Linked DNA regions of Diceros bicornis minor. Each later gene encodes a partner of the first gene's protein in a complex. Links are inferred from orthologs where the notes say so. Each region holds a gene or a part of one and is shown in the gene's direction. Other genes may lie near its edges. The genes, in order: TACR1 and TAC1.

What was found.
Region 2: the proteins of TACR1 (region 1) and TAC1 are in contact, whole or in part, in a cryo-EM structure (PDB 7P02), measured with the Homo sapiens proteins. The link is inferred for Diceros bicornis minor from reciprocal best matches to the Homo sapiens genes TACR1 and TAC1. Residues at the interface, in NP_001049.1 of Homo sapiens: Gln24, Phe25, Asn85, Asn89, Tyr92, Ala93, Asn96, Trp98, His108, Asn109, Ile113, Gln165, Met174, Arg177, Val179, Cys180, Met181, Ile182, His197, Val200, Phe264, Phe267, Phe268, Tyr278, Leu279, Ile283, Gln284, Tyr287, Met291; in NP_003173.1 of Homo sapiens: Lys60, Pro61, Gln62, Gln63, Phe64, Phe65, Gly66, Leu67, Met68.

What each region holds. Positions count from the first base shown.
Region 1 is NC_080751.1:13,837,755-13,854,019, forward strand, and holds the start of TACR1 (substance-P receptor), read left to right. Parts: upstream 1-7,680; 5' UTR 7,681-8,243; coding exon 8,244-8,632; intron 8,633-16,265. UniProt on the Homo sapiens protein: This is a receptor for the tachykinin neuropeptide substance P. It is probably associated with G proteins that activate a phosphatidylinositol-calcium second messenger system.
Region 2 is NC_080742.1:34,472,958-34,488,857, forward strand, and holds the start of TAC1 (protachykinin-1), read left to right. Parts: upstream 1-9,174; 5' UTR 9,175-9,248; intron 9,249-9,715; 5' UTR 9,716-9,724; coding exon 9,725-9,847; intron 9,848-10,876; coding exon 10,877-10,973; intron 10,974-11,454; coding exon 11,455-11,499; intron 11,500-11,993; coding exon 11,994-12,017; intron 12,018-13,574; coding exon 13,575-13,628; intron 13,629-15,900. UniProt on the Homo sapiens protein: Tachykinins are active peptides which excite neurons, evoke behavioral responses, are potent vasodilators and secretagogues, and contract (directly or indirectly) many smooth muscles.

The sequences.
Region 1 (16,265 bases):
ACAGTTATAATGGTTGTACTCATGTGTTATAAGTTAGAAGTGCTGACAAAAGGTCAAATAGAGTGACCACATGTAAAGCACATGGAACTGTTCCAGGCATGCAGTAAGCACGGTTTAATTGCCAGCTACCCGCCTCTTCATCCCCCTGCTTCCTGTTCTTATTATTAATGTTTATTGTTGTTTTGTGTCAGGAAGATTTACAGTTTGATGATTTCTGCTCTGTTGCTGCCTCCTCACCTCTCCACCTTTCTAAATTCAACCATTTTCATGCGATTCAGTCCAGTTTAATACACATGTATTGATCATCCACTCTGTGCAAAGCACTGTATGGAAGAGAGTGCTAGCAAATGAACAGTCGAGTCACATGGTTCCTCCGAGAACTAACAATCTAATTTGAAAGAGATATAATGCACCCCAGACAGTTTGCCCTGTGAAAGGATGGCTGAGGAAGGGAGCCAGTGACTAATAGTAACTTATCAACACCGTGGAGGAGAGAAGGGGATGCCTCCACACCAGGGCCTTCAGGGGACCCGGGTTTATGGGGACCTGAACGCAGCTGCCCTCCCTTTCCCTGCTAACTCCAACGTCCTCTCCCATCAGTCAAGTGGCTGCAGGCCTCAAGGGCAGATGGACACAAGTGAGCCGTGGGGCTCTGTTGGGGTTGAGCCAAGAGAACAACAGAACTGGGCAGAGCTTCCTCTGGCAGGCTATGCTTTGCTAGGAGATCAGTGTGGGAACCTAAAGAGAGGATCAAAGCAGAGGAGCCTGGGTTCTCAGAGATCTGAGGGTAGGGGCAGACATCTGCACCAGTTGGTGTACCAGGGGGTCTCTCTGCTGCCCAAAAGGCCTAGAGGGAACAGAAAAGGATGAGCGAGTTCTCCCTGCTCCTGAGGCAGGAAAAGGGCAGGGTGAGTGGAGGGCAGGGAGGCTTCCTGGGGGTGTCACAGCAGAACTCTGACAGCCTGTGTTGGTATGTGGGGGAGGGCGCGGTTAACCCTAAATCTAATTCTCCCACTTCTTTCACCACCTAGGGAATCCCTAAACTCCCACTGCTTAGAATGCTCCAACCACCATGCCTGAGCTCTGGTAACTCTATAAAGAAAACAGCAACCTATGCAAGGGTGCCTAATAGCCAGAAAAGATGAATCTGGGCAATCAGAGAACGTGCTCAAGTAAGAGAGCTGCTGAAAGAGCCAGATGAACACCCAAATAATTCAAGTACAAAAGAAGAAAAAAAACAATCTTCAGAAGCTAAACAAAAACATTCTGGCTAAAATATTCAGCATCTGTATTAAAAGACTCAAAGGAATGGCTTAGAAGATCAAGTGCAAGAAATGTCTCTGAGCACAAAGCAGAAATATAAAAAAGATAGAAACCATGAGGAAGTGTTTAAGAAACTTATAGAACTGCTTTCAAGCATTTTTTTTTTACTGCAAACTATGGTAAAAAAAATAGATTTTACACTGAAAACCTGTACACATAAAGTTATAATGGAAATAAAAGTTCACAAAACAATACTTACCCTTATTCAAAGTGTTATGCACTGTGATATTTTCTATTCTGTGTTACTTCATTTTTTAAAATACTAGTCGCCATTAAGGGGTCAGGAATAGTTTTTAAAACATTCAGAGGATAAATCCAGGAGACCTAGCATGCCAGCAATGAGTCCCAAGAGGAGAAAAAAAGGACTAATGGTAATAGGTAGAGAGAAGAGGTAATACTTTCAGAAAATACTAAAAGAAAAATTTTCTTGGGATGAAGAAAGGATTCATCTAGATTCAGGCTGGATTTAAAATAAAAGACTCACATATTTCCAAAACTTGCTTGAAGATAAGACTGATCCAGGGTACTTAGTAAAAACAGATTACTGAGCCCCAACCCAGAACTACCAATCAGAATTGTCAGGGGAACAGGATAATGTGTTTATTTAACAAGCAACTCAAGAAATTCTTATCATCTGAGAAATTTAGAAAACACTGGACCTGTTTTAAGCTCCTCAAACTTTAATGTGCTTACAAACCACCTAGGGTCTTATCAAAACACAGAGTCTATTCTAGTAGTTCTGTATCAGCCCAAGAATTTGCATTTCCAACAAACTCCAGGGTGATGCCAATGCTGCTGGTTCAGGGACAGGACTAATATTTCTGGCCATAGTTAAAGATGAGTTGCTTCTCAATTCATTTTTCATTGCATAACACTAATATCAAAACCTGATCAAGAAAGAAAAGGAAAAAAGTAAAGGAAAAAAATCTCTACATCAATCTTACTTAGGAAAATAGCTTCAAAAATGTTAAATAAAACATTGGCAAGTTGAATCCAGCAGTATATCAAAGAGGAATGATATAGCATCTGACCAAGCAGAATTTATGCCAGGAATGCCAGGGTGGGTCAGTGTTGGAAAGTCTATCCACTTAATCCACTATGTCAACAAGTTAGTGAAAAAAATTACACAACTATATTAACAGATCCTGAAAAAGGCATTTAAAAATAAAAGAAATTACAAGATATTTCTGTTAAAACTTCAAGATAAAATAAAGTAGAAGGAAACTATTTAAACATAAAAGACTGTTGAGCAAATTCAACAACAAATATTATCCTAAATGGTAAAAAAACAAAGCCATCTTAATTTAAATTCAGAAACTATACAGAAATACCTGCTATCACAATTTTTAATTTAACATTGTCTTAGAGGGTAAAGGAAATTCATAGAGACAAGAAAATACTGATGATGTGATTGAAAACTAAGGAAACTCAAGTAAAAAACACTAGAATTAATATGAAATTTAGGTAAAATATATGTATATACATACACACACACTCACATACACACAAATTCATATAAACAGAAGTCAACAGCTTTTCTTTGATCTAGGACAAAAAAGGAAAAATATTTCATTTACAATAAAAACAAAAACTATAAAAAATAAAGAAATAAATTTAATCAAAAAACTGGATCTATTATAACCAAAACTATAAAATCTTTTTGAAAGGCATAAAACAAGACTTGAAGAAATGGAAAGCCATACCATGTTCTTGGATGAAAAAACTTAATATCAAAATGTTAATTTTGTCAAAATAAAATAAATTCCAGGCTGTTTCAATTAGAATACTAGTGCAGTTTGTTTTGTTTGTTTTTTTAAAAATTGAAAAAAAATATTGATTTAAATGTGATGCCACAAAGTAGATAAGAAAAATAGGAAATGAGCTCTCAGGTGAACTTGCCTTACCAGATATCAGAATATTTTATTCTTGTGGTAGTCAGGATAAACTGCATCATGGTGAGTAACAAGTTAATCCAAACCCTAGTGACTTAACATAACAAAGTTCTTTCCTTGCTCACGCTGCATGTCCATAGCGACTTGGCAGGGGCCTGTGTTACACAGTTACTCGGAAACTCAAGGTGATCAAGACCTGTCATCTTGTAGCTGCATCATTTGGGGCTTGGCAGAAGAAAATACATGGAGAAGTCTCTCTCTCTCTTTCTCCCTCCCCCCCTCCCACCCCACACACACACACACTTCTATGCTTCACACATCATTTCCACTTAGAATCTATTGGCTGAATTTGTCACATACATAGCTCTGCCTAATCACAAGGAGGCTAGGAAAAGTAGGAGATCATATGAATTATATATATATATATACACATATATATATGTGTGTATATATGTATGTATATATATATATATATAGTGTTGCTATAGGAATAGACAAATGGATCAGTGGGCAAGACTGGAGAATATAAATATTAAATCACATATACTTGAAAATTTAATCTATGACACAGATAACGGTTTAATTCCTCAGGAAAATGGATGGAGCTGTCAAAACTAGCTAACTACATGAAAAAAATCAAAGTAAATCTTTTACATAATATATAACAACAACTCCAGGTGAATTTAAGATATAAATGTAAAAAAATGAAACAATAAAAAGCTGCCAAGAAAATTTAGGAGACTATGTGAAAAAAAGGATTTGGGAAGACTTTTAAACCAAGACTCAAAAACCCAAATGTTATTAAAGAAAGTACAGATTATATAAAAATTGTTTTAAGTTTTTATGGCAAATACATAAATTCAAGAGATAAATAATAGCATTAGAAAAAATAGTTGAAATATTTATGACAGGCAAAGTGTTATTCAAAGAGCACTTAGAAAAAAATGACTGGAAAGCAATCCAACAGAAAAAGAGACAGGAATGTGAATAGACAATTTACAGATGGAAAAATCCACATAGCCAAAAAATCTTAAAAGAAGTTCAAATTCTCTAGTAGTCAGAAAAATGAACACTATGTATTAGCAATGTTATCATATTTTTACATATTTCAGACTGACAAAACTAAAAGATTTTTAACATCTATTACTGGAAGAGATGTGGGGAAAAGGGTAATTTAGTTGCTAGTGAAATGTAAGAGTGCTACACCCTTTTGGAAGTCAATCTGGCAACCTTAAATGGAAATATACAACATGTATACATATACCCATATAAATATAAATACAATCCGTTACCTAGAAATTCCACTTGGAATCTCTCCCATAGAAAGAAAACATCAGACTGTGGAGACATAGGTAAAAATGTTGATTAAAGCCTTGTCTTTAGTAGCAAAAGCTGGAAGCAAAGTGAATTTCCATGAATAGGGAAAGGAATGTATAAATGATGGTGCATCCATACCATAAGAATAATATTTAGCCATTGGAAAAAATGAGTTAAATCTATACCTGTTGACTCTGAAGCATCCAGACAATGTTTTGAGTTAACGCAACAGAAGTACGTTTCTTTTGTTGGACTTTCAAAAAGTGAAAGTCCCATATTTGTATAAGCTTACATGTACAAGTATCATGTGTATTTCCGTCTGTATAGTATTAAAGAGCCTAGACAAATAAGGAAGGATTTATTCTAGATTGTCAACAGAATTTACCTTGAGACTGGTGGGCCTGTGTTGTGTGTCAAGGAAAGAGTTAAGTAGAAAGGGGAGCCAAAGAAAAAAAGGGTAAGGAAAAAATATCAACTGTTGGAGGAAAAAAGCATATACAGGATCTTATCTATACATCTGTGCTACGTTATCCCTACGTGGGAAAGAAAATCTTACTTTTATAGAAGGGTCAGAGCTAGAGAAGGTCCCTCAGCAGATTGTGCATGAACCAAGGACACCTTCTGTTACTGTATGGCTGAGGCATTTTTTTTTTATGTGACCCCGTTATGAATATGCTTTGCTTTTTTTGGGAAAGAAATTAACTTTGGCAAGTCATACATATTCCTAGGACATGGCTACCTGCCGTGAGGAATTAGGAGCAGGAAAGAGAGCCACTGAGGCCAGCCTCATCCACATGTGAGGGCCAGGAATGCAGACCCTTGGAGGCCAGAGTAAGGAATGGAGGTGTTCCTCTAAGTGAGCTGGGCAGTCCCTGTGGGACCTTAAGCAGAGTGCCATTGTTTGACATATAAAATGCCTATCTGGAATATTCTGTTCCCTTTCATCCTCAGCCTCTTCTCATCCTTAACACATTCTTCAGGCTTCTCTATGGATATGATTTTCTGCTCTCCTCCCCGATTCCTCTCGTTGTCAAGGTTAAGTGCCCCCACCATCTTCTCCTCTCATGCAGAGCCTAGTACCTTTGCTTATCCTAATACTTCCGGTTTTGTGTAGTTAATTGTCTCATTCTCCTTCACCAGACTGTGAGTGCTTGGCCCGGCTGTATCCCCAGGACAGTACCTGGTTCAAGGTATCGACTTGCTCTACTAATGAAGGACAAATGGATAAATCTTTGTTTTTTAGCTTTTATTTTATACTTAGCTTTCATGATATATTTAGGTTTTATTAGCTTTCTTTTTTTCCTCTAAGCGTTGAGTAAAGTTCCTTTAGAAAATGTCAGCCTGCCTCCACTGGACAGGGGGAAAGAAAGACAGCTTTAAACAGCTTGGGAGGAAAAATAAAGGTGGACACACACGCACACTCTCCTTCAGCTCTGCGAGGTGATGGAAGCAGTAATGAGAGATCCAGGGTACAAGGGAAGGCTTTCCGTTCCACAAGAAGGCTCTCCTTTGCTGTCCCTCTAAATAAGGGGGCACAGGGTTTAGGGGTGCCTAGAGGACCACGCAGTGCAAGGGGCAGTTCATATAAAAGCTGACATTACAGGCTTAACAAAACCAGAGTGAATTAGCGATTCCCCAACCACCCCGGCGAGAAGATCCGCTTTCAGTCCAGCACAAATCAGTACAATAAATTTCTAAGCCTTAAAGCGCTTCCGGCGAGATACTTTGCGCGATACTTTGCGCGCCCGCCGCAGAGGCTCCCAACAGGAGGGCTAGTGCGTAAACGCCGCTCTCGGGAGAGCGCGGGCTTTCGCCAACTCGAACCTCCGCGCCCCGCCGTGCCACCCGTCCCTACCCGGGTCCCACAGTTCCGAGTCCCCGCAGTGAAAGCGGGGAGGTAGAGAGGTAGATGGCCCCCAGAAAGACTCCGAACGTTCGATTCCCCGCGGAACCGTATCTCCTGGGCAGACTGGCTGGAACGCTCTCCGAATCTCAGCCCATCTTCTCTTCTCCAAAACGGTTCGCACCGACTGGCTAGTTCTTCCCGCCTCCTCCCACTGCCCCGCACCATCGCGGCCGTTTTGAAATGGCCTTGAACTGGAAGATGAGTCCTCAAAGCCAGCCAGGGGCGGGGTGAGGGTGGGGAGAGAAGGCAGGCAGCTCTACCCTCTAGTTCCTATGCAAACCTGGGAGAGAGGAGGAGGGAAGAGTTCGCGACGCCACCTCGGGCCCCGCTCTGGCCCGCAGGCCCGGGAGACGCGGAAGCAGAGGCTGCGGTGTCCCCGAGCGGAGAAGGCGAGGCCGCAGTGGGTGTTGGCAGAGAGCCCGGAGCCGCGAGTCTGGGCGACACACTGCTCACCGAGCTTCACAGGGAGCCCAGCCCAGTCCCCATTGCCTGCACGGGGGGCTCATCTGGGGAGATCAGCTGTAGCTTTTCATGGAGCGAGGGGCCAACGCACTGCTGGGGAATGTGTCCCCAAAGCTTAGCGCCTACCACTGCTTCCCGGGAGAATCGGCCCACCAAGGAAAGGAACTAGGTATTTTGGGGGTGTTTCCTAAACGCGACCTCAGGAAAGTTATTTTCCGGACACCTGGAACCGGGCAACGTCGCCTCTCGCTTCTCGGCAGCAGCCAGAGCGAGCCCGCGGTGCACTTGGGCTGGAGAGAGGCCCGGAGCGCAGCGCTGGCGCGTCGCCCCCACACTTGCCCGACTTCCACAGCCACAGGCAGGCGCCTCTGCAGAGCTGTCGCAGCGCTCCGGGCTACCCTCCTTGGAAGTTAAGTGTCCATCACCACAGCTCTTTGGCAAATTCTTCCTTCCCTCTTGGCGCATCTGTGGTTCCAGCTGCAGACCCCATCTGGCGCAATTACTCCGGGGCCACCTAGCGACCCCTCGCGGACTGCGTGGGGCGCCCGACTTGCAGACTCCCACAGCAGGTAGCTGCAAAAGGCGTGGCGGCTGCAACGGTGGAGTGAGACAGTTGCCAACAGCTGGTGCAGCTGCCGTGCTGCGCACGGGTACTGGCGAGTACGCAGCCCAGGTACTGCCCCTTCCCGGTGACGTCTCTGCAGCGGGTTATAAAAGCCTCGCGCAGCCTGCCGAGGTTCTGCTAACTCCCGAGCCGAGCGGGACCCGAGCCAAGAGGCGCCTGAGAAGCTGCAGGCAGCTGCGGCGGCGGCAGCGACAGCAAAGGAAAAAATCTCCAGTTGGACACGGGGCACAAGAAATCCGGACATTGACTCAGAACTTTTACGGGTTGCGCTTGGACGAGCACCCCCCTTCGCCCCCAAGTCCTCACGCAGTACGGGGCTTTGCCTTTCCCGCTGCAGGAAGGGGGAATAGGAGTTGCAAGCAGCAGCAGGTGCAGAAAGGCGGGGGTCTCCTGCTTCCTGGAACCGCGACCCGTGGAATTTCTTCCCCTTTTCCAACCCGACGCAAGAGAGACGCTGTCTCCAGATTTCTGAACTCAAATGCTTCCTGAAGCTTGAAAGTGGAGGAGGAATTCAGAGCCACGAGGGGCAGACAGCGCATCAATAAGCGTTTATCTTCTGAGCCCAAGTCTCCTGCTTACAAGAAAAGAGCTCTGCCCAGAAAGAGCCTGCAGCCCTCCTGTCCTGGTTAAGTAGAACCCTAACCCCCGGCGCCGGCCTCAGGACCCTGCTGCAAAGGCCAGGTGTGTACAGAGGAGGGTTTAACCGCCTAGCAGGGGAATGGATAACGTCTTCCCAGTTGACTCAGACCTCTTCCCAAACATCTCCACCAACACTTCGGAGCCCAACCAGTTCGTGCAGCCGGCCTGGCAAATTGTCCTTTGGGCAGCTGCCTATACGGTCATCGTGGTGACCTCCGTGGTGGGCAACGTGGTGGTGATGTGGATCATCTTGGCCCACAAGAGAATGAGGACAGTGACTAACTATTTCCTAGTGAACCTGGCTTTCGCAGAGGCCTCCATGGCCGCGTTCAATACAGTGGTGAACTTCACCTACGCTGTCCACAACGAGTGGTACTACGGTCTGTTCTACTGCAAGTTCCACAACTTCTTCCCCACCACTGCTGTCTTTGCCAGTATCTACTCCATGACGGCTGTGGCCTTGGATAGGTGAGCTTGCCCTTTGTGGAACAGGGAGAAAGTGTCTATAGAGGACCATGGCTTTGCTTTGGAGCTTCGGGGCTGGATTGTGCCTGGTTCAAGGTGGAGATTGGCCACCCAGACCCTGGGGTTTTTACCGACCGCCAGTTGAGTCAATTGTTGATGAGGGACTTTCTCTTATCTCACCATTTTCTTTTCTAGTTCCTCTTTTCTTTCTCCTCGTTTTCATCCATCACTAGTCTCCCTTCCTTTCTTTACACATCCTCTTTTTTCCTTCATTAAACCATCTTCTTCATCCCTTCTCCACTCATCTTCCTGACACTTCTCTTTCAACTCCTGCTTTGCTTCTTTCCATATATGTGTTCTTTCCTTTACCATGAAAACCTGAAGGAGATACCCAGGGTTTGGCCAAGGGGCTGGCCCCTGGCTAGGGCTTTGTAGTTCCCTGCAGGCTTGCTATTCTACTGGGCAGACTCTTGGTGCCTTCCAGTTTTAAGTAGGCCTAGGCAAAATTTCTCATTTTTCACTTTTTTCCTGAAGATTCAGGGACTCTGCTCCCACCTCCTCTCTCCAGTATCATTTGGATGTAAAGAGCGTTTCATTAGAATCATAAAATACTTAGGATTCTAATTCAGCTCCCTCTATGCAGCTAGGGGATCTCATTCAGGAATAAGAGGCAGCTATGCTGTTCTTAAGGAACTCTTCAGATAGGAATCCAAGGAGCTTTACCCAGGAGTTTTTCTAAATTTCTCTTGCAATGTAAGGTCAATGTTTTTAGCCTGTCTGTATCCACAGAGAAACGTGCTTGGCAAAGGCAATTGAGAGCTCTTTCTTTCCTGCAGCCAACAGGTTAGGGCTTCAGAAGCTGATTGAAAGTGAAAAGGTTGCATTTTCAAAGATTGGGGCTGGCATTCTGGAATGAATGGCTCCTCAGGTGGCATGATGGAAAATTGATTATTAGAGCACAGCTTTATTTGTATTGACTTTTTTATGGGTGTCCTAGGTCTCTAATATGTATATCTGTGTGTGCACAAGTCTTAAATGTTTACCTGGGCTGTGGAGGTATGTTTAAAACACCTGCCACTGTGATTTTTAAGTGGTTTTTTTGATGGCCTTGCTGAGATGAATATGAGAAACCCAAAGAAGGAGCTAAGAGAAAAACTTCAAAAAAAAAAAATTCCCAAACTACTGAACCCTTTTGCATAAAGATTGTTTATGGTTCGCAATTGATTTGAGATCTTTTTCAGTTCTGCGGTCAATGAACACTTAAAATCGGAGAAAACTATGTTTCCTTTGCAGTGGTGTCCAAATGCTGATTTCTAAGTTCCATGTACACCTCCTTTTATGCAACTTTTATGTGTTTGATATGTTGTGTGCAAAACAAGTTGTGGTGAATCAATTTATATTTTAAATGCAGAAGGGAAACCAGTTACTCAAAGTTCTGGTGAAATGAATGCTTTTCTAAATTTATCTTTTATGCTACTCTGGTTTTTAGATATTTGTAAGGTGCACCTGTAAATCTTTCTGCACTGACTTGCTTTAACCTCACAGAAGCCCCGTCAAACTCAGAATACCCCTAGCATGCTATATAACTGAATATAGGTGCAGAGATATCTGGTACCACTCCAGCCTTCCACACACTCTCTTGACGATCCCTAAATTAGAGGGAAAGTTGGCATTTTTACTGTGTTGGGGCCTTGCACGAGCTCAAGGGAGACCTGTCAGTCAGTGTGAGCTCCAGCATTCAGTAGCTGATGGAGCGCCAGCAGACAGCTCTCTTGCTTTGGCTTACACAGAAATGACACCATGTTCCACAGCCCTGCTCTTTCTCTTTGAACTAGAAGGTTAGAGGCTGGAGTCGGGGTCAAAATCTTCACAGTGGATTGGGCAGGGAGCCAAATTTCGGCTGCCTTGACTCTGGCTTCTCAGCCTCCACTGTTCTTTCTCTCCAAGCAAACCACAGACAGGACCTTGACCCTGAGTGACACCTGCTCAGTAAGGTCAGAAGATCTCTGGGGCAAGAGCTAAGGGAAATGACTGCAGTGAGAATGTCCCCATGTCCCTAATGTACAGATATGGCCTGGGGAGATTATCAGCCACATGCTCAAGGTTCAGAGTTCAAGGTAGGGTTAGGCATGAGGCTTCAGGGCTCTGTCTCTAAGTCCTCCAAGGGCTCCTTCTATTTTCTTTACTCAGCCTCATGAGCACAGTGAATTAGTCCCCTCAGGCCCTCTGAAAAATGTAGCTCCCCTGCATGCATGGTCATCCATTCCCTCCCAGAAGGGGCCTTATCTCTCCTTTCTTCATCACGGCAATGCAGACTTTGAGGAAATGTTAAATTGTCTTTTTGTATGTTCCTTGAATTTTTAACAGATAATCTTTGAATCAAGTCTTAAAAAATAAGAACAACATGCTTTTCCTGATTATAGAATTAGTTCCTTGCAGAAAACCTGGGAAACATGAAGACCATAGACCCCAAAATACAGATCAACCATTACTACACCATGTAAAAATAACACCTGTTAACACTGGAATTTCTCTTTTATGACAATTATCCTACATAATTGAGGTGAGATTCTATATAATTTTGTAGCTTACTTTTTTCCATTGATATTAGTGGAAAACATTAATAACATTTTCCCATGTTATTAAAAAGTCTTCAGTAATATAATCTTAATGGCTTCCTATTATTCCATTTATGAATGTGCTATTATTACTTTAACCACCTCCAACTGCTGAGTATTTAGGTGATTTCTAGATTTTTTTGCTATTATGATTAATGCGCTAATAAACATTTCTGTATGATAATTTTGTTTTGCTTTCTTGATTATTTTCTTAGTATAGATTCCCAGAAGTGGAATTACTGGGTCAAATTCAATGAATGTTTAAAAAAACTTTTCATTCTAACTTTAAAGGATTACAAGCTCTGAGCAGAGCAAGGCCTACTTCTGTTCTGTCTTATTTACTTTATCTCCTCAGCACAAAGCAGAGTGCTTGGCACCTTAGAGTCACTCCGTGTTTATTGAGTAAGTGAATGAACATTTGGAAAATACATAAAATTGTAAAGAAAATGTAAAAATCTTCTACAGTCCTACTATTGACAGATAACCAGTTAAAATTCTAGAATGCTAGCTTTCTATACGTGTTACCTCTGCTGCCTACAGCCACTCACGCTTTTAAAATAAATTTTGGATCATAATAAGAACAGTTTCAATAGCTGCTTTTTTGGTTTTTGTTTTTTTCCTTAACATAATATCATGGGCATTTTCCATGTCATGAAATAGTTTTCAAAGCAAGATTTTTAATGGATGCATTGTATTGTGTGGCTATAATCATTTTTTTCAACCATTCCTGTATTTTTCGATGTAAATTGTTTCCATTTTTAATGATTACAAGTAACTTTGAAATGAATATCCAGGACATAAATCTTTGAGAGCATACTTGTTCTTTCCTTAGAATAAAATCCTTGCAGTGGAATTGCTGGGTCAAACTTTCTTGGTAAATTTTGCCAAATTTCCTTCTAGAACCAAAATGTATGCAGAGAAAAAAACTTCAGCTGCAGATTGTATTACTAATTTAAATCTTTCCTGTAATCTTTCCATTGAGTGGAGAATGAGACAGAGAGAGAGAGAGAGAGAGCCTCTTCAGAAGGAATACTTATTTATTGAAGGCAATGGTTACCTAGAATAAAAAAGTTTTAGAGACAAATAAACTTGAATAAGAGCAGATCTACCTCTAATTAAACTCCAACAAACACCAGGGATTTTACTTTTGGAAACTCTGTACTTTCTCCCACTTAAAATAAAATTTAAAATTTCTTTCCTATTGTACAAACAAAAAAGTGTATGTGATGTTTCATGAGATCAGAAGGTAGAGGACGCTGAAAGGTGACACCTCCATTTTGCAGGGACTGGTGATGATGGCCAGTTCTGGTATTGTGGGACAACATCTAAGAAGAGAGGAGGGAGACCAATCCCTAAGCCCCACCAGAAGGGCTATAGGGGCAAAAGGTAACCTGACTTGGACCCAAGCACACAGCAACAGGAGGCTCAGAAAAGCACTGGCCTCTTAACACCGCTTCTCTACCTGGTAGGGGCAGGTATAATTTCAGCAACATGAAAGGTGAAGGATGCCCACTACTCAGACTGGTTCTGGATATGTTGTATTTGAGTGAAAGGAAACATCCAAATGATGATGGTCTCTGGACAATATGAAATATAGTCAGGACTAAAAATATAGTTGCGCAGATAGGGGTACTGGTTGAAAGCAAAAGAGGAAATGAACTCTTTGAGAGAATAAAAGAGGAACCAGAGCAAAGAAATGCATAAATAACAAAACCTCTGCCCACTGATCCCTGGTGTCCATTCCATTTTGTCCCAGTCATCTCCAGCTACAAGTTTAAATAGCCTGCTTCTCAGGTCTCCGCTAGACCTGCAGTCTGTCCATGAACCTCACCATGTTGGCTAGAGTTGGGTCCCATTGTATATCTCAGGGCAGTCCTTCCTCACCCAGAGGCTGGACTTAGATTCCAGCATCCTTTGCACTAATTTAGATGGACCTTACAATCCGTGACCATCACTCCTGTAATGCTGAGAATGGTCATTCACTAGAAGCTGGCCCTGACTTCTCAAATTAGGAACCTCGAATGTCTGGGTTGATGTGGATCAAATTTGAGTTTGTTACATCTTGGATGGGTCATTTAGGCTGCAGGATCTTTCCTGGAGAAGTTCAATGCCCATCTGCTCTCTGAAGCTGCCGCCACTGCACTTATCACATCCTCTCTCTACTCACGAGAGTCCTCAGTGTCCTGAATGGTCAAGGCCCTTGGTTTTTTTAAAAACTGGCAGAAACATAGGTTCAATTGAGGGAAAATAAAGAGTAATTCTCAATGTAAAAGCCCATAGTAGGAGCACAAGACTTTGTTACTATTATTGTGTTGAAATAGCAAATGGTAGAATGAGGATCATGAGGGAGAAATACTCACTGTTAAACTTGGACAAAGATCTTCAGTCTATCAAGGGATGATGCCACCAGGTAAGGTGATATTTCCTATGAGGGCTTAGGTTACCTATTGGGGCAAATAAGACTGACTGAGAGATAACTACAATATAAAGTGTTAAGCGATATGTTTCATATGGATTGTACAGACAAATTCTATAGGAGAGAAGAGGAGGGAGGTCGTGTCCAGCAATGATGATCAAGGAAGACCTCAAAAGGTGGCAGTCAAGTTGGGCCTTGAAGATTAGATAAGATTTTGAGAGACAAGGATAAAGAAAAGTGAGATTCCAGGTAGAAGAAACTGTATTGACACAAGTGTGGTGGTAAAAAGTTGCAAAGTGTTCGGGGAGAATGACAGGCTGACTCAATTGAAGTGAATTCACAAGTGAATCAGGGAATGAATGGAGGAGTTGATGGGAAGAAAATGAGTACAATTTTTGTTGGATTTGATGTGAAAATATAACAATTAGTTGGAAATACCCAACAAGCAACTTAAGAAATGGGGCTAGAGAATGAGAAGCCAGGAATCCAAATGTAAATTTGGGAGTTTTCCAAACAGAAGGGTTATTGGAATTTGGGAAGTAAAGAACATCACTTTCACCTGTGTAGGCACATGTTTCCAGAGAAGAGGCCAAAGATTCACAGGAATGTCCTATCAGGCTATAGGAGGGGAAAAAAAGAAGAAATAGAGGAGTAGTGGAGAAATCAGCATATGTGGAATGACAAAGGTTAAGGGAGGTGACTTGTGGTTAGTTATATTCATTAGTGTCAATAGAATCCAAAGACGATGAGGACATTGGATTTGGTAATTAGAGAACATTGGTGAACTGTGAGAGACAGTCATCCATCCATCCATCTACCCATCCATCAAACCATTGTGGAGCACCTACTATGTGCCAGATGCTGAGGCAGTAAAATACTGCCTTTGCCTTTGTGCTCTCAGTCTTTGGGGATTGACAAAGTCATGAACACCATTATAACCCAATGCAATTAGTACCATGCTGAAGGAGCTTGGAGACAGAGCAAAGAACTACCCCTGGGAATATGGGAAAGAATATTTTACTGGTAAAATAGAGAAAAGGAAGGGGAGGAGGAGGAAGAGGGCAAAGGGGAGGAAGAGGAGAAAAGAAACAGCAAACTAAAGAGAAAACAATGTGGATTTTGGGGGCTTTTTAAATTAACTTCATCAACACTGGATTGGGAATTCTCATAATGATTTATTAATGTTTGTCACTTGGAAACTAGAAAGGAGATTTCATGTTAATAAAATTGACAATGATACCATATATTTGCATGCTCTTCAATCCATTGTTTCATCTAATTCTCAATACCAATGGGGATTCTGTTTCGACCTTGGAAAGACTATTAGGCACTATTTCTTTTAGCATTGTCCTCCCACTCTCCACTCCCTCAGAGCTTGGAGACCCATGCAATTTGCTTTCATGTGCCTTAGATATCCGCCTACATACTCCCGCTTAAGATGGCTTTTGGATACTATATCATTTAAGTAAAGCTGTCCTTGAAGGCAGAAAAGCAATGTAAGGGTCCTACTGTGCCAGAGAGGACATTAGAGACCCTTAGACAATTTTCTACTCAAGTAAAAATTCAACACGCCAGCGGTCTAGACAGGGCCATTGTAAGAGTATTAAATTCTGCTTAAATATATTACTCAATTTGTCTTATTTGTTAAATTAATTCAATTTTGAATCATTACAAAATTATTCCTTTTGCTGAACTAAAATCTGTGCCTGATTGTGGGCTGCTCCTACTAGTAAATGCCTCTTCCATGTGGCAGCCTTTCTGATACATCCCTCCTGAATCTTCTCCCCCACTGGTTAACCATCCCTGGTTCCTTCCTCTTTCCTTCTCCATATGTCTCAACCGGCTATTCTCATTTGTTATTGGTGCTCTTAGCTGAGAGGTTAACTAATGCTCACAACTGAGCATTACCCTATCACCATTACCTCGAGCAGCTCCACCTGCTGCAGGGCTGGCATCCTATCTGGTGACTTCATTGTCCTCTTAGATTTAGTTGAGCTGCCACCGCCACTAAGAAGCTGACCTCAACCTGCAAGTCTAGATGAAGTGTCCTTCTCATCTATTCCCATGTCATTTAGCCAATGAGGTTGTAACTCTTGGTAACTTGTCAGTCTCTCCCATACCTCCCTGCCCACTAGGGCAAGCACCATGAAAACAGGGATGCTTTATCTGGTTTCCCATTCCCACCAGCTATCCAGTTGCCTGACATAGAGCAGGTACTCATTAAAATGTGTGTATAATGATTGACTTGACTGTACCTCTCTCCTGCACACATCAACTAAAATCTGAAAACCAGACCCAATGCATCAGGCAGACCTCAAAGCACACCTGTGTACTATGCCTTGAAGCCAAAGAAAAATTTGGACCAATTTATGCCTGCCATGGAGTTTTCCTACAATATAGAACACTTTTGGTTCAGAATCCCCTGTTCTAGAATAACTACATGTTCTAATTCACACTTGCCTCTCCCACACTCCGCTTGACTGGGCCCCACTGGATTCCTGACCCACGTCCTGTCCCCAACAGGTACTGCACCCCAGGAGAACACCTCTAATTGAGGGAGGTGTTTATCATTTCCATCTTACCTCCAGTCTATCCAGGCATC
Region 2 (15,900 bases), on another chromosome or scaffold:
GATTTTTAACTAGTGTTTCTATGATGTGTTACAAATTAGCCATTTTTCTAAGACAATTGGGCTGGCTGTACCTAATATTAATTGAATTTTTGACCTTTAAGGATCCAGTTTAGCCGCACTGATATCTGATTAGGAGTATTTTCAGTAGACCTATTAGTCTGGCTTATTATTTTAAGATTGCATAGTCATGTTGAAAAGGAGATCACCTTCAGTCTTTTGGCAAGTATATATGATGGGAATTTCTTAATTGCACCCAGAAGCAGTGGAAAGAAAACACACTTATTAAATATTTTTAACAACTATTATCCTTGACTATATGTAAATAGTTCAAACAACCACCAAACTCCTAATCTTTTGATTCAAGAACCACCAGTGACTAGCAGTTTATAAGGTGATAAACAGTTATGATTTGCTCTTCTTCCAGAGCAAGTTATCTTTGCTTGCTAATAGAACTTGTTGATGTTTAGATTGAACCAAGAGTTGATGTCAGTTGACCTCAGCTGGTTTTACCCCTCCCAATCCCTGCCCCCTCCAACATTTGCAACCTTGGTTCTGGGTTCTCCAATGGATAGCCAACCCATATCCTTACCTCTCTGCCTTTGCTTAAGCTGTTCCCTCTCCCTCCCCATTCCTTCTATCCCACCCTCTCCCATCCAGGGAAATTTCATTCTATGCTCCCATAATTTGTAATACATAATAATACTCCTCTGTTACAGCATCTATTATATGTCCTGCCTCCCTGACTTTCCTGAGCCCTCCTGGGGCAAAAACTGTGACTCATTCATCTCTGAATTCCAAGCACCATATTTGCTTGGCAAATATAGCGTACATTAAATAAGTGTTTATTGAATTAATTTTCCTTATGGCAAGTGCAGAAGGTTGGAGGGTTGGAGTATTGTGTCCTTTTTCCAGTGATGTGCCCACTTCTGACTTTACTATACCAGGAACTAAAATTAGTTTCCCATAAGAAATGGCTTTCTGGACAAAGAGATGGCAACACAAGACTAAACTCTTGAAGAGGCAGCATCGTGAAACATAGAAGGAAGTAATAAGATAAAGATACAGGTGATTCGCATTCCATGATGAAACCATATGTTACCTGGTTTTGAGTACAATTGCTTAAAATCCCCTCTAGGCTACCTCAGATGGTGCAGAACTTTGTAACTCTGCATTTGACTCTATTGTGGTGTTTCTTCTCACACACTGGCAAATGGTTAATAACTCAGGACCTGGTAACAACAGTTCTAGGTATTTTTGCTGTAAGAATCTTTGCCGCAAGAAGTTTTGCCACACAACTAATCGGCTGTAAGGGCAATTTTGGCATAAAAGATAAAATAACTGGTTGACAGTTTTGGGTTTCATTCATTATGGTTTCATTTGGATATGAATAATTTTCATTCTGTTCATTTGGTTTTGTTTGCTTACAAATATGCATCCTAGTATTCAGATGAAACCAATACCTCTCTTAATGAAGGAAGAAATTTCAGAAGAAAAAAAGTGCAAGGCAGAAGGTGGAAAAGAATCAACAAGCAAAAAAAAAAAAATGTATAATACTAAGAATGAAAGACTTGGAAGACAAAGTGCTTAGGTAACAATCCACAAAATCACATCTGTTCTTTGCACAGTAGTGCCATGAGTCTACACACATTTAGCTATTCAAATATTTTGTATTTTCATTTTTCACAGTGAAGTCTTTTTAATTTTGTTATTCATTTTTCATTATGAAAACCATTGTAACCAAATGAAACCAAAACTGTCAACCAGTTATTTTATCTTTTACAGCAAAATTGTCTTACCACAGATGAGTTGTGCAACCAAACTGCTTACAGAGAAAATATCGGACACAGGTAACACAGTGTAGACTGGAAGGATTTTAAAGAGTGATTGATATGAGTGTGCTCAAATAAAAAATTAATAAAGCAAGTTAGAATTCCCATGAGGCAGGAAGTAAAAAGGAGTGATCATAGCCGCAAGATTTCCCATGTAAATAACATGTAAAAGGTAAGCCAGTGTGTCAGGGAGGAGAGAAGGGGCTTCGCCTTGCAGACAACATATTCTTCCAATGTAATATTTGCAGCAACAGCTGTGTTCCAGGGCATTTTCTAAAGTTCTGGAGTTTGGAGCAACAAAACAGGAAAGAACTGATGCATCTACTTGGCATAGGTGATGTCCAACAATTGCACACACATTTACTAGTCAGGGAACGTGAACACGGTGCTATTCTAGGCCTTCTCTAATGCCTACGAAATAAAGTAAAAATTGTTAATTCCTGGAAAAAACTGAAATCCACAATCAGCAACCAAACAAATCAAGAGTCACAGTCTAGTTAAAGCAATCATCTTCAAGAACCTGTAGGCAATGGAAGAAACAGAAAATTCTGGAGCAAAGCAGAGAGGCCTATCACAGCCTGGCTCCACAGAGCCTCTGTCCTCTCAACCTTGCCATCACCTTCCAAAAGTTTTATTGGTAAATTGACAAAATTCTGAGAATTCTCAATGATGCTGCACATGGAGAGGAGAAAACTGAGCAGGCAAATCATTATTTTCTTCCAAAATGCAAGGGATACAAGTGGCTGAGAGAAACTGGTGACACCAGGGCAGAGAAGAACAGAGCTAACTCTTTAAGGGGAGTGGAGGGAAGCTCCAGACTGCAGAGATCAAATCCAAGGGCGTCCCTCGCAAGAAAGACCCTCCAACCAGGGAATTGACATGGAGTTGACATGGAACAAGACACTGCACAAAATCTCAGGGGAAAGAGCAGAGTCTGGGTATTCAGACGGCATCACACTTCAAGCTCCTCCTCCCTCTGTCATTCCCTCAGGCTAAGAAAAGTGAACAGAACACAAATCCTTTTTTTTCCCTCAAAGGGGAAAAAAATCTCAAATATTGTAGGAACAGAGTCAAGTAGTCATTCTCAGCCTGTCTGCTCAGAGTCACCCAAGCAACATCAAGATGGAGAGAATGGCCCAGAAACTATGCAAATATATTACACATTGTATTGGGATTCTCCAGAGAAAGAGAACCAATAAGGTGTGTGTGTGTGTGTGTGTTATATGTGCATGTGTGTGTTATGTGTGTAGAGAAGGAGAGAAGAGACACTGATTTTAAGGAATTAACTAAGGATTTTAAGGAATTAGCTCACAAGATTGTGGGGACTGGCAAATATGAAATCTGCAGGGCAGCTGGGCAGGCTAGATAGAATTCAGCAAGAAGTTGATGTCTTGAGTCCAAAGGTAGTCTCAAAGCAGAATTCCTTCTTCCTTGGGAGACCTCAGTCTTTTTCTCTTAAAACCTTCGGCTGATTAGATGAAGCCCACTCATATAACAGAGAGTAATGGCTTTACTCAAAGTCAAATATTAATTTGATTCAAATATTAATCGCATCTAAAAAAATACCTTCATGGCAACATCGGGACTGGTGTTTGACCAAATAACTAGGCAACATAGCCTAGCCAAGTTGACACACAAAATTAACCATTCACACACACACACACACACACACACGTGCATACACACAAATACACAAAGAGAGCCACCTAGAAGAAGAATAATAGTTAATATTCACTGCATATGCTAGGCACTGTTCTTTACACTTCACATGTATTTACTCATTTAATCCGCACAGCAACCTTATGAGGTAAGTACTATTTATTATCCTATTTGACAGATTAGAAAATGGAGGCAGAAGGTTCTTAAGTAACTTGCCACATGTCTAGCAAGTGGCTAAGCCAGTATCAAAATTGGCAGCGCTTGCTCAAAATTCATGCATTTTACTGCTAAACTAAAATAAAACATAACTCAGGAAATTCCTTTAATTACTTCACACTAAGAATATCTTAATAAGAACATGAATTCAATAAAATAAGTGCAAATCAATAAAATGATAAAGCAATTAAATGAGATGAAAAAGGAAATTACTTGTCTATGAGAATAAATTGGGACTACGCAACATGATTATGGAAATTAGAAACAGTAAGGCGAATTACTGACACAAAAGTGAATTACTGACACAAAGAGGAAAAAGTTAAAATAATCTAAGTGAATGCAGAGGAAAAGGGCAAAGAATTAAAGCAATTTGGAAGAATATTATAGACGTGAGATACCATATACATTACTATACTATATGTATATGTATTAAAATATATTATGATCCAGAGAAAAGGACCATAATATTCTTGAAGTGGAATTTCCATTTCAAAGATACATTCAAAGACATAATACAATAGAATTTCCCTAAAATGAAGAAAGAGAATAATTTGCAAAACAAAAAGAGTTCATGATACTTCAAGAAAATGAGATGTAGGGTGATCAACAAGACATAACCTAACTGAACTATTGAATATCAAAGATAAAGAAAGAATTCCTCAGATGTCAGAGCAAAACAGCAAATCACACTCAAGCAGGGGGAAAAACTATCCCACCTCAGAATTCTCCACAGCACTCAATTCCACAAGACAAAGGAGCAATGTCCATAAAGTCCTGAGAAAAATGAAATTTAATTTTAAAATATTACAACTAATCAAGATGTCATTTGAGCATAGAAGCCACCGAAAGACATTCACTAGCATGAAAGAACTCAGAGAATGCAATATATACGATTTCTTCTTGAGAAAGAAAAATTTGCTTGACAATGACATCCAGCCAAATAAGAGTGATTTAAAAAAAACCTAGAGAATGGCAAAGCTAGATTAAAAGGACTAGTGGTGAACAATGAATCTGTTTAACTATAGAATGAATAGTTGACAGCTACTGAAAGTATGCCAGCAACACTCAATGTGAATTTATAAACCTGAATAATGTTAAAATAATCATGTAACTACAAAAATTGGGAGGTGAGACGAAGGGGAGTTGGGAGGACGTTTAAGAGTGCTAAAGTCCTCATCTTTCAAAACAGGGAATAAATAGATATTGTCTAAATATCTATTTTTTTTAAATGTTACATGCTGGCCTCTTAATGTTTATTCCTAACTCTTGTTTTAGGAACCCATGAATGGGTTCTTTTATGGAAAAAATATCTTGTGGTGAAGAAACATTTTTCACTTTTGTTTTTCCTCTACTAAAGTCAAATAAAATATAAATAGCTATCTTTCATTAAAAATACTTCTGAGGGTCTGAGGGTCTCATCCTATTTTTATAACTTTATTTGTCTATTGCTCTATTCTTCTAACCATATAATACGCATAGAAAGATATTCACAATGATGTTCTCTTACTGTTAAGAGTTGCAAAATTTCTGAGTTTGAAGTAATTTTTTAAACAACACACTACTGTATTTTTCTGCATTGCTTTATTTTTTATAAAGAGTATCTCTTACTTTACAAAAACAATCACTTGACTTTTTTCCCTTTAAAAATTGTCAGCAGTCTATCAAGATGTTAACAGTGGCTCATTCTGGGTTATGAGAAAACAAAAGATAGTAATTTTTCTTTGTATTTTTCGTCATGTTTTTAATTTACAAACATAAAAACTGATTTATTAACTACTTACTTTTTCATCATTCTAATTCTCATGCATATGTATTTTATTAATATGTATATTGTCATAAATTTGATGTTCTTGGAAATAAAACAAAGAGTATAAATATCCCAAATAAAAACAAATAAAGAATATAAACATCCCAAACCCTGCAATGTTCAAGGAGAAAGTGTGTCAGTAAGTGCATGACCTTACTAGGAGAGCTAATTTAACAATTAATGAATGATGTGGAAAAAGTGGGAAATGTATTTTTTAATCAATTTTTTATCTCATTATTGTTTATTATTCAATCCTATGAAACAGCCTTTATTTTATGTTCTGTGGCACATTTACAACATATGGCATCCGAACAGAGTTATACACTAGTTACCTGGGGCTAAAGGGAAGAAATTGTGAAATAGCTGTCTTTATTGTTACCTCATAAACCACATCGGTAACTGAGAAACAAAAAACATATATATATTAATCTAAAATGCCCCACTTTAGGTATGAAATTTTACAAGGCAGAGAAGGATATGAATACATATTTGCTGATATTAAAATAACAATAATAATAGAAGGATAAGCTAAAAACCTAAAAAGAAATGGTTACTAGAGGGAAAAGAGTAGAGGGACAGGGATTGAAGCTATACTTCTTTGAATGCATTATCTTTTGAATATTTGAGTTTGGAATTATGTATTTTACATAATTTTAAGGTTAAATTAAATTTAAAAAGCAACCCCTAAAACTCAAGAGCAAAATGAGCAAATGAAGCTATGTTTGTAAGAGTTTGTAGCATACCCATAGAGAGAACTTTTAAAGTGAGTTGGCTGAACATACCTAGAATGATATATCCTAAAGATTACACGTAAAAACCCTTAAACTGTTTCCAATAATCATATTGTTGACCATATTGGCATTGTGTATTGGGATAAAGCAAATGAGTCATCATGTTGATGTCCCTGGGAACTTGGATTTCTTGTCATGGAAGAAAAGAGGCAAGAGGTCAAGGATAGAAGACAGAAGAGGTCAAGGAAAGATCCTATAGTATCCTGATTTGAATACAAAGTGTCAGTATACTTTCACTATTTTTACATATACACACATACACATACACATTTTCAGCTGTATTCATTGAAAAGGTCTTGAAACAATAAAGAATTCAGTAGCAATGTGCACCCATAATGCCCAGTTTATGGTCTCTAATTATCATTTCTAATTCAAAGGAAACAAGAGCTCCTTAAATGCAAATTGCAGGTCCGAGGCAGGAAATGCACAACTTAAACCTGGAATATCTTGTCATACCAAAAAACAAGAAACCCCTTAAAGCCTATTTAAGGGGTATCAAATGTCTCAGGAACCAATTTGAAAAGTCATCTGCAGGCCAACAAATGAGATAATTGGAGCATCAGTTAGAAGGCGGCTTGCCTCTATCCTTCTTTGAAGGGTTAAAATACTTCAAATGTGTTTAAATCCATGAGGTCATAATAATCCTAAATATGGGAGAGGAAAGGCCATATACCAACTCATTATTTTTAAAATTGGTAAAGGGAAGTAATCAAGCACTTATCTCATCTTTCCTCTGTTAACCATGTCTTGGAGTAACCAAATAGCTGTTGAGGAACAAGTTTCTCTTTATACGGAAGAAATAGTCCAGCTAATAAATACAAAATGAATGATAAAATCAGAATAACACTATTTTGAAAGTACTGATGAATTAGTGGATCTAGAAAATGATCATCAGTGGCTGCTAACATCTCAAAAGGAGAAACAAACAGATATCATGTGCTTCCTGACAACACATAGAAAGTAGCCTTGTCAGGAAAACTGAACCTAAGTGGGATTAAGCTTCCAGATACAACTATCAATTAACAGGAAATGGACAGGACAGAGGAACACATTAAAAGAAACCATTAGGAGGCAATCAGCAAGCTCCAGAATGTAGTACACTTTACTGACCAATTCACAAACTACAAGAGAAAGAGATCGAGAGAACTATAGATTAGGGGAGATTTAAGAGATGTACGAATGTATTGCAATGCATAGACTTCATGACAATTCTGATTTTAACCATTAAACTGTAGGGGGGAGGGGTTTCTGAAACAATGAGGAATATTTGAATATTGACTGGATATTTAACGTTGTAAAAAATTATTTTACGTTGTTTTTAGGTGGAATAATGACATGGTTCTGTTTTTACTTTTAAAAAGCCTTACCATTTATAGATACATACTGAAATATTTACAGTTGAAATGATGTCTGGGATTTGCTTAGAAATAATTTGAGTGGAGGAGAAATAGGAAGGGTTTATAGGTAAACCTGAAAATTTTTTCAAGTGATGATTCTCTACTTTTGTGTATGTTTATAATTTTCCATATAAAAAGTTATAAAAACAAAGAATACAATGCCTCACATTGTGAAGCTAGGCCTAAAGAAATGAGATAGACACATGGAAATTTCAAAATTCAGGGTTGTTTAAGAGAGAAAAACAAATGTTAAAGGAAAAAAAATACTGGTTTAAACGAGTTGCAAAAACTTATTCCCTTAATGCACTATACTAAAAACATCAGAATTAATTGAAAAATATAATACTAAGTAAAGAGAAGAAAAGAACTCCACCCAAGACACTATGTCATTTAATTCATTTTGAAATGAAAGAAATGTATCTGCAAGACAAACTCATGGGTTCATGGAAAGCTGTGATTTCTGTATAGAGGGTATTTATTAACGACGGCCCAATTAGCATCTTCACTACCCTTATTTTCATATACAGAAGAAATCTGTGAATGATTTGTAGAGTCCTTTAACGACACCCGGCAAGGATCCCGTACACCGTCTTGCCAGTGTCTTAGTCTTCAGCAAGAAAGGGTAGAAGAGAAGGGAAAACGTCCTCTTCCAACCCCCGCTTCCGGATTAGGCAAGAAAGAGGACTTAGCAAGCTTGGAACAAAAGATATCCTAGAATGGCACTGATATAAAAGTTCTACGTACAACGCCACGTTTAAATTCCCTTTTCTCCAAAATGTAAAATAAATCTGCTGCCATCGTCTGAAATACTACGGGACTGAAAATCCTTTTGTAAAGCTAAAGAAACGCCAGTATTCTAGCTGATTTGGGAGAAGGATGTTCTGCTCATAGAAAGATGCTGTATCTCAGAAACAGTTAAGACACTCTGCAGATGGAAATAGAAGGGGGAAAAAAATACCTCCCTCCCCACTTGAAGCGCTCCTTCCTTAGCCTGATTTCCGACGACATCTTAATACCTGAAGTTATTCGGCCATCCTTAAAAGTGCAACTTATCCTGACGTCTCAAGGGACGGAAAAGTTGCCGAAGTCCGAGGAATGAGTCACTTTGCCCCATTTTGATGAGTAATCTCAGGTGTCACGGAACCCCGTTCGGAAGAAGGAGAGGGGAGGGGGCGTCAGATCTGCAGACGGAAGAAGCCTGGCCGCTTGGGATTGGATGGCGAGATCTTGAATTTCCCAAATGTGCGTCATTTCGAACCCAATTGGGTCCAGATGTTATGGGCACCGACGGGTTACCGTCTCGGAAACTCTCAATCAGACGCAAGCGAAAGGAGAGGAGGCGGCTAATTAAATATTGAGCAGAAAGTCGCGTGGGGAGCGTGTCACGTGGGTCTCGAGGCTGGTCGAGCTTCGGATAAATACCGAGCCGCGCGGTGCAGGCAAGAGAGCGCGCTGCGACCTCCCCTCCACCGCCGCGGCGACCGAGAGTGCGGAGCGCCCGGCGTGCGCTCGGACCGGCCAGAGGAACCCCGCGGGCCTGTCCGCCTCAGTAAGTGCCTGCTCCGGGCCAAGTGGGCTTTCCGCACCGCGCATGGCTCCCAGGCGGCTGCTGGCCGCGCTGGAAGAGCCGCTGAGGCGAGGGACTGTGGGGGGTGAGTGGGGGGACAGAGGGGAGACGGGTATTCCAAATGCCAGTGTCCCTCTTTGTCTTCCACCTGCAGAGGTTCCTGGCTTGAAGGTGTGGATCAGTGGGTTGGGGGCTGGGGGAGTTGGGATCCAGGGAGAAGGGAATTTAAGAAGCTTTGGGGCATGCTTCTCTTTCCTAAAGGGTACCGGCAGGCCTTTAGCCCTTAGGCTTTTTATCGTGATTCAGTGGGCCCTGAGTTCCTTTGTGGGACTGAAGTGGGCCCTGAGTTCCTTTGTGGGACCGAGGATTATGCACCCCCAACTCTTGGATAACCGCCCTCCAATACATATATTTTACTATCCTCGGTCTCTTCTCTCCACTCTTTCCAGAAATCCAACATGAAAATTCTCATAGCCTTGGCAGTCTTTTTTCTCGTCTCCACTCAATTGTTTGCAGAAGAAATCGGAGCCAACGATGATCTGAATTATTGGTCTGACTGGTCCGACAGCGACCAGATCAAGGTGAGACCCGGCCCGGAGACGGCCTGCGCCGTTCTTCCTGGGCTCGGGAGCTGTCGCCTTCGCCCCGCGGTAGCACCTAGTTAGCCTGGCGGGCACCGCGACAGCCACCAGAGGTGTAAAGGAATGCCATCCCCTGGGTCCCGCACGAGATTTTGTGCCCACCATCCAAGTTTCCTCCCGAGGGCTGCACCGTCGGGTCTCGGGAACTCCCTGGAGGAATGATGCCCTCCCTGAGGAGCCCGGGATCCTAACAAGGCTGGAAACCTCACAAGGTTTAATCCCTGAGTAACCGGGAATTCGGGGACTCCAGTCCAGCTGCAAGGACCGGGCGTTTGGAAACGCTAGGCAGGGGCAGAGGATGGCGCGCCAGATGCAGGCATCAGCGGGGTAAGGGGTGAGCCGCTGGGAGCTTAGAGGGGCGTAGGTGGGTGGGAAGCTAACTTCCTGCCTTGACATTTTACCGACCTGAGGACGTAGTCGTTAAGTTTTCCTTTACAAGGCTCACAGACTATGGGTGCAAGGGAGCGCGCCTAGCGGGAACAAAGTCGCGCCGTGCAGGTCGCTTGTAAAGCGTTGTCACCCTTCCCCACCCAACGCACACCTGTGTGAATTTAGGGCGGTGAGGCGGCTCCAAAACTGGCGACAGAGTCAAGACAAAGTCAGGGGGCTGCACTGCAGATGAGTTGAGGTCTCCGGGATGGGAGCAAAGAGCGGAAAGCGCGCAGGGCTGGGAGACGCTGCTCCTCCTGCTAACTCGCAAGGGCAGGGCTTGGGGGAGGCAGCGGCGCTGGGCAGGAGTTCGGCGGGGAAGGGTGGAGAAAGGGAGCACCCCGGCCGGCCTGGAACCCACTCAGCCCCGCCTTGGGGAAGCCTGGCCTCCCCTCGCCTCCCCGAGGCCCCGGGGGCGGGCCTCACTGCCGGGAGCCGAGGTTCGCTCAGGGTTGGAGCTCACCATCGGAATGACCCGGGTTTCCGGGATCCTCGCGCTGGTTGACTACACGCCGGTTTGTCCGTACATCTGTCCTCCAGGAGGAGCTGCCCGAGCCCTTTGAGCATCTTCTGCAGAGAATCGCCCGGAAACCCAAGGCTCAGCAGTTCTACGGATTAATGGGCAAACGGGATGCTGGTGAGATGGGCAGCTATCCCTCTCTCTGTGTCTCCGGGCATCTCGCCCTGTCTGCTCGCTCGTTCTCAGAGCCCAGTCTCTCTTGCTCTTTGGGTAGAGATTTCCGCCCTAAAAGAGGTGTAACTCCCTGGGCGCTCCTCTGGGTCGCACCTCGCTAACACTCGCATATGCCCGCGGAGGGAGGGAGAGATCCGTTTCGCTTGCCTCACAATGTTAGAGACCCAAACCACCAAGAACAGGAACCAACCTTAGCTAAATGCTCCCTTGACTAAAGATCCAAACTGACAAAGAGGGAGAAGGCACGGGGCCTCCGGGGGGTAGTACTCAGAAAGGTCTAGGTGCGTGTGGAAGATGATTATAGACCATTGGGGTTAGAATAGATTAGCTTCCTGGTGTCATGATAGAAATATTCAGTTTCCTTGAATTCATCTCACCATCAGTGGAACGTGTAAATAGTTAATGTCACTTCGTCTCTTGTCAGATTCCTCAGTTGAAAAACAAGTGGCCCTGTTAAAGGCTCTTTATGGTAAACATTTCTATAAATCTTTATTTTACTATTGTGAATGCACATGTAGGAAAGTGAAAAAAGTCTTTTATGGGCTGAAATACAGATTCTTGATTATGCTTGTTTAATACCGAGATGGATTTACATCTGTCTCTCTCCTGAGCATCAAATGGGTGGCCCTCCATGAAGATGTGTTTCTTATAAGAAAACAGAGAGGTGGTAGGCCCAACAGTTGTTAACAGGCCTCAGGAGTCTCACAGGCCTGCATTTGAATCTGTGACCCAAAGAAAGTACTTAAAAAAATATTCCTTTTGCTTATTGAAATATTTTGTTTTTATTATTAATAATTTGGTTAGCATTTATGGTTCTGCTATATTCCTCAGGATAGTACATGAATGGGAAATGTTACATATTTTAAAAATCAATTTATTTTATAATTCTCTTTAAAAAAATATAATGTAGTTTCTTTAAAACAAATTTATTGTGTTTGCTCATTTTATCTTTATTTCTTCCAGGACATGGCCCGATCTCTCATAAAAGTAAGTTCAAAATTATTTTGACATTTATCAAATGCGAATGTAAATTAGATTGAATCCCACTTTATATAATATCTGATCTTATTTCTACTATAACTTAGGACCTAATATTTTAAATGAAGACACTATAAGAATGGAGGAGGCTCATATTACATCTAGAACATGATTGTTTAAAGCTCTGTTGTTTAGACATGTCATACTTACCAAAGGAATACATGATGTTAAAAATCCTTTAACTCCCAGCTAAACTGTTGCTAAATTCCTGACACACAGAAACTGTGAGATATTAAGTATTTGTTGTTGTTTTAAGCTGCTAAGGAAAGGAGGGAAGAAAGAAAGAAATCCTTTAATTCCTATAAATTGTTAGTTTTAGATAAGAATTTCAATTCTAGGAGTAAAAATCCACCACACATTCCTCTCCCCGATGGCTCAACCACCACTTCCACTATAAAACAAAAACAGAAACAAAACAAGCATTTACAGGTATCTTCTAAATCATTTTAGTATGATGGCTCCCATAATGACATCACTTAGTAGGGTAATCCAGCAGCCAATTAAGAGGCTTGAGTGAATGTCTGAGTAGAGAATCCTTATTAAAGGTAAATATAGATAGAAATGCAGTTTTTTGATTCTATAATTGAATGGGAAACCTCAGTCTATCAAAACACAGTGAAATATTTCTTAGGGGGGTGAAGGTGGCAGTAGTGTGGCACTTGATGGCCATTAGATCCCAGTTTCCCAGTTAGTGGAACCAGAGTTGACAGGAAGTCCCTGGGGTCCATCTTAATTATACTGTCCACTTACTCTGACTTGGATTTTGGTTCACTGGGCGGCGGCAGAGTAGGCCACATTAAGATAGAAACTTTATTTTCAACTAATAACAGTGAAAACCAAGAGACGTTCTCCTAATACAGTTAAAATAATAACTTTTCCCAAAGGTTTCATCTTTGAAAATAAATCATTCATATTTACTTTCAAAGGATTTGAGTTACAAGGGAATTCTATGTAGAAAATTCTATGTAATGGAAATAAATATACTCTATTAATGTCAAAATTAACACACATTTTCAAAAGGAGTATTTTTTAAAAATGCAATAAAATAGAAATAGTGACCTTTTAGAAGTTTATAATTATAAGGTATCTGACTTAACTAAGGTTCAGTTCCTGAGAAATACAACATACTCAGTAACATAAGGAAATAGGCTTGGATATTTCTCTGTCACACAAATGTGAAATTGACTCCCTAAAAATCAAAGCTAGCTTAAATAGCAACAATATATAAAACTTTATATTTAAACAAATAAAATATAATATGAATAAAGGATGCTTGCTAATATTTAGATATAGAATTGAGGAAGTGCTTTCATGGTATTGTTTTAGTGTTATTTATAAGACTTATTAGAAATCTTCATTTCTTCAGGCTCAACAAAACTTGAAATAGATATATATTTATTAAATGGGCGTATATTCAGAAGCTTGCTTTTTTTTTTGGTACTAGTTATAAGAATTTATTTCCTCAAAGATATACATATTAAAATACCCCTAAATGTATTTTTCCAGGGCATAAAACAGATTCCTTTGTTGGACTAATGGGCAAAAGAGCTTTAAATCCTGGTATGTATAAAATAATGACTGAAAATAGTATCTTAAATCTACTTGTATTTTTTCTTTCTAAGACAGTTTTTAAAGTATTAAAAAGGAATAATAAATTTAAAATGAGCATTTATGGTGAAAAAAAACCTAATTGTAATAAATAAATCCAAGAATGGGTTTATAGCTGATTAAGCTAATATCACCACACTATCCATCTCTCTCAAACCACCAGCCTTATCAGTGTCTGCCTCATTTAATTATTACCTAACCTGAATCTTTGGTCTAGTCTAATATTCTTTCCCTTATATCTGTTAAATAAGCCACATTTAACCTTACTGAACTAAGAGGAGGAGGGTATGTGGGAAATAAGACCAAATTTTCACTTGTTGCCAAGGTAATTTGAAAGTCTTACAAGACGTTACATCTGGCAGTCTTCCAACACAAAAATAAATAAACAAAAACAAACAAATCTATTTATACAAATCACATGCTCTTCATAAAGTTATAGAAGCTCAAACTCTAAACATCCTGATGGATGTTTGAGAGCATGAGAGTAATATAGTCCATTCCAGTGCCTTCAAAAAGAAACACAATTAAATCATCCTGGAGAGTTCTAATTAGTTCTGGCCATAAAACCCTTAGAGACAATGGATGCCACAATTCTCATAACCCATTTTAATTCTGAACAACTCTTTCACTTGACAAAAGGCTACATATTTCTTTTCTTCTCTTTAGTTTCTCTCTTCTATATAAATGACACATACATATATCTGAAAACTCTTATTTCTTAACTCATTCATCACAGTATTCTCAAGGTTAAATAACCCCTACATCATTTTCATAGGGACTGATTTTTTGCTAAGCACATTCAGGCTTTAATAGTCCTTAGGTTAGATTTCATGGGAAAGCTAGTCAAATTCTCCTTGTTTTACCTTCAGTGAAAAAAGAATTAAAATACTAATCATGTAATTATTTAGAAAGTAATCATCAGCCGTCTTATCCATTTAGAATATTACAAGTTTCTAGAAAATCTATAACTAAGATGTGCTGGCTTAATTATCTGGAAAAGTCATACAAAAATGATATATCCTAGTATTGATATTAGTTCTCTACCTTCCAGATTTAGACACTATTTTTGTATTTCTTCATCAGTAATTTTGGGGCTGCTCAAGTTTAAATTTTAAAGAAGTTATCAGTGATCCCAATGAAAAACTTAAAATTGTTTTATTAATATATATTTTCTTCCAGCTTTTGGAAACGGAATATAAATTTAAAACACAGTGGCTTTACTTGTATCAGAAGTATACACTAGCCCTTATATAACTGTGGTTTTCTTGATAATCATATTAGTCATCAACTTTGCGTTTCCAGAATTGATACAAGTTTCAGAACATGCTTAACTTTACAATAATATAGATACTGTGCAATTTATTGCAGATTTAATGCTATTAAATGTACTTAAAGTTATAATTATAGATAATAATAAATAGAATCACTGGAATGACTCAGAATCAATTTGACAAAATCTTTGCTCCTCCGTTTTAGTTAAGAAAAGAAAAGAAAAAAATGTGCAGAAAATGTAATCTATAGTCAGAGATCTTTTCATATAATCAGCTGAGACAAGGTAATCATAACCTTCTACAGCCATCTGATCCTTACTTTTTGTGGTCACAGACCCCTTTGACAATCTGAGAAATCTAGAAACCCTCTTCCCAGAGAAACCCTCATCAGCTCATACACACAAAAACTTACATTCGGTTTGAGAGAGTTCAAGGACCAGGTAAGAAACTGCTTCCAGTTAAGAGGACATGATACTCCAGCTAAATGACTAATCTGTCTTTGGTTAGTTTACATTAGCTTTCACCTCACTTCTCTGAGGAACAGAATCGGATTCCCTAAAGCTTCTCAGGAACTGAACTTGTGCTAGTCATCCTCCTAATATAAACAAACCAGCATGAGAAATGGACTGTGTCCTTCCTTCAGAACTGCCCAGTTGGAGACTCTGACTGTTCCACCCCAGAAGTGCATCCATGATTGACATGAAACATTCAGCTTATCCTTAACCCCATTTAGGGGAGTGTGGATGCTAAAGATCATCTGCTCAGTGGTAAAAGGTGAAAGTGATAACTCCAGAGCCTTTACCTACCTTCTCTCTCAGCTAATCCTTCTCGCCAAAAAAATTGTTTGCAGTGGCACCCATGATTCCTACACATCTTTCACAGTTCTTTCTACTGTTTCTATTTAAATTCAGTATTTTATACAAAGCGTACTGAATTTTAAAAAGCACAGTAGT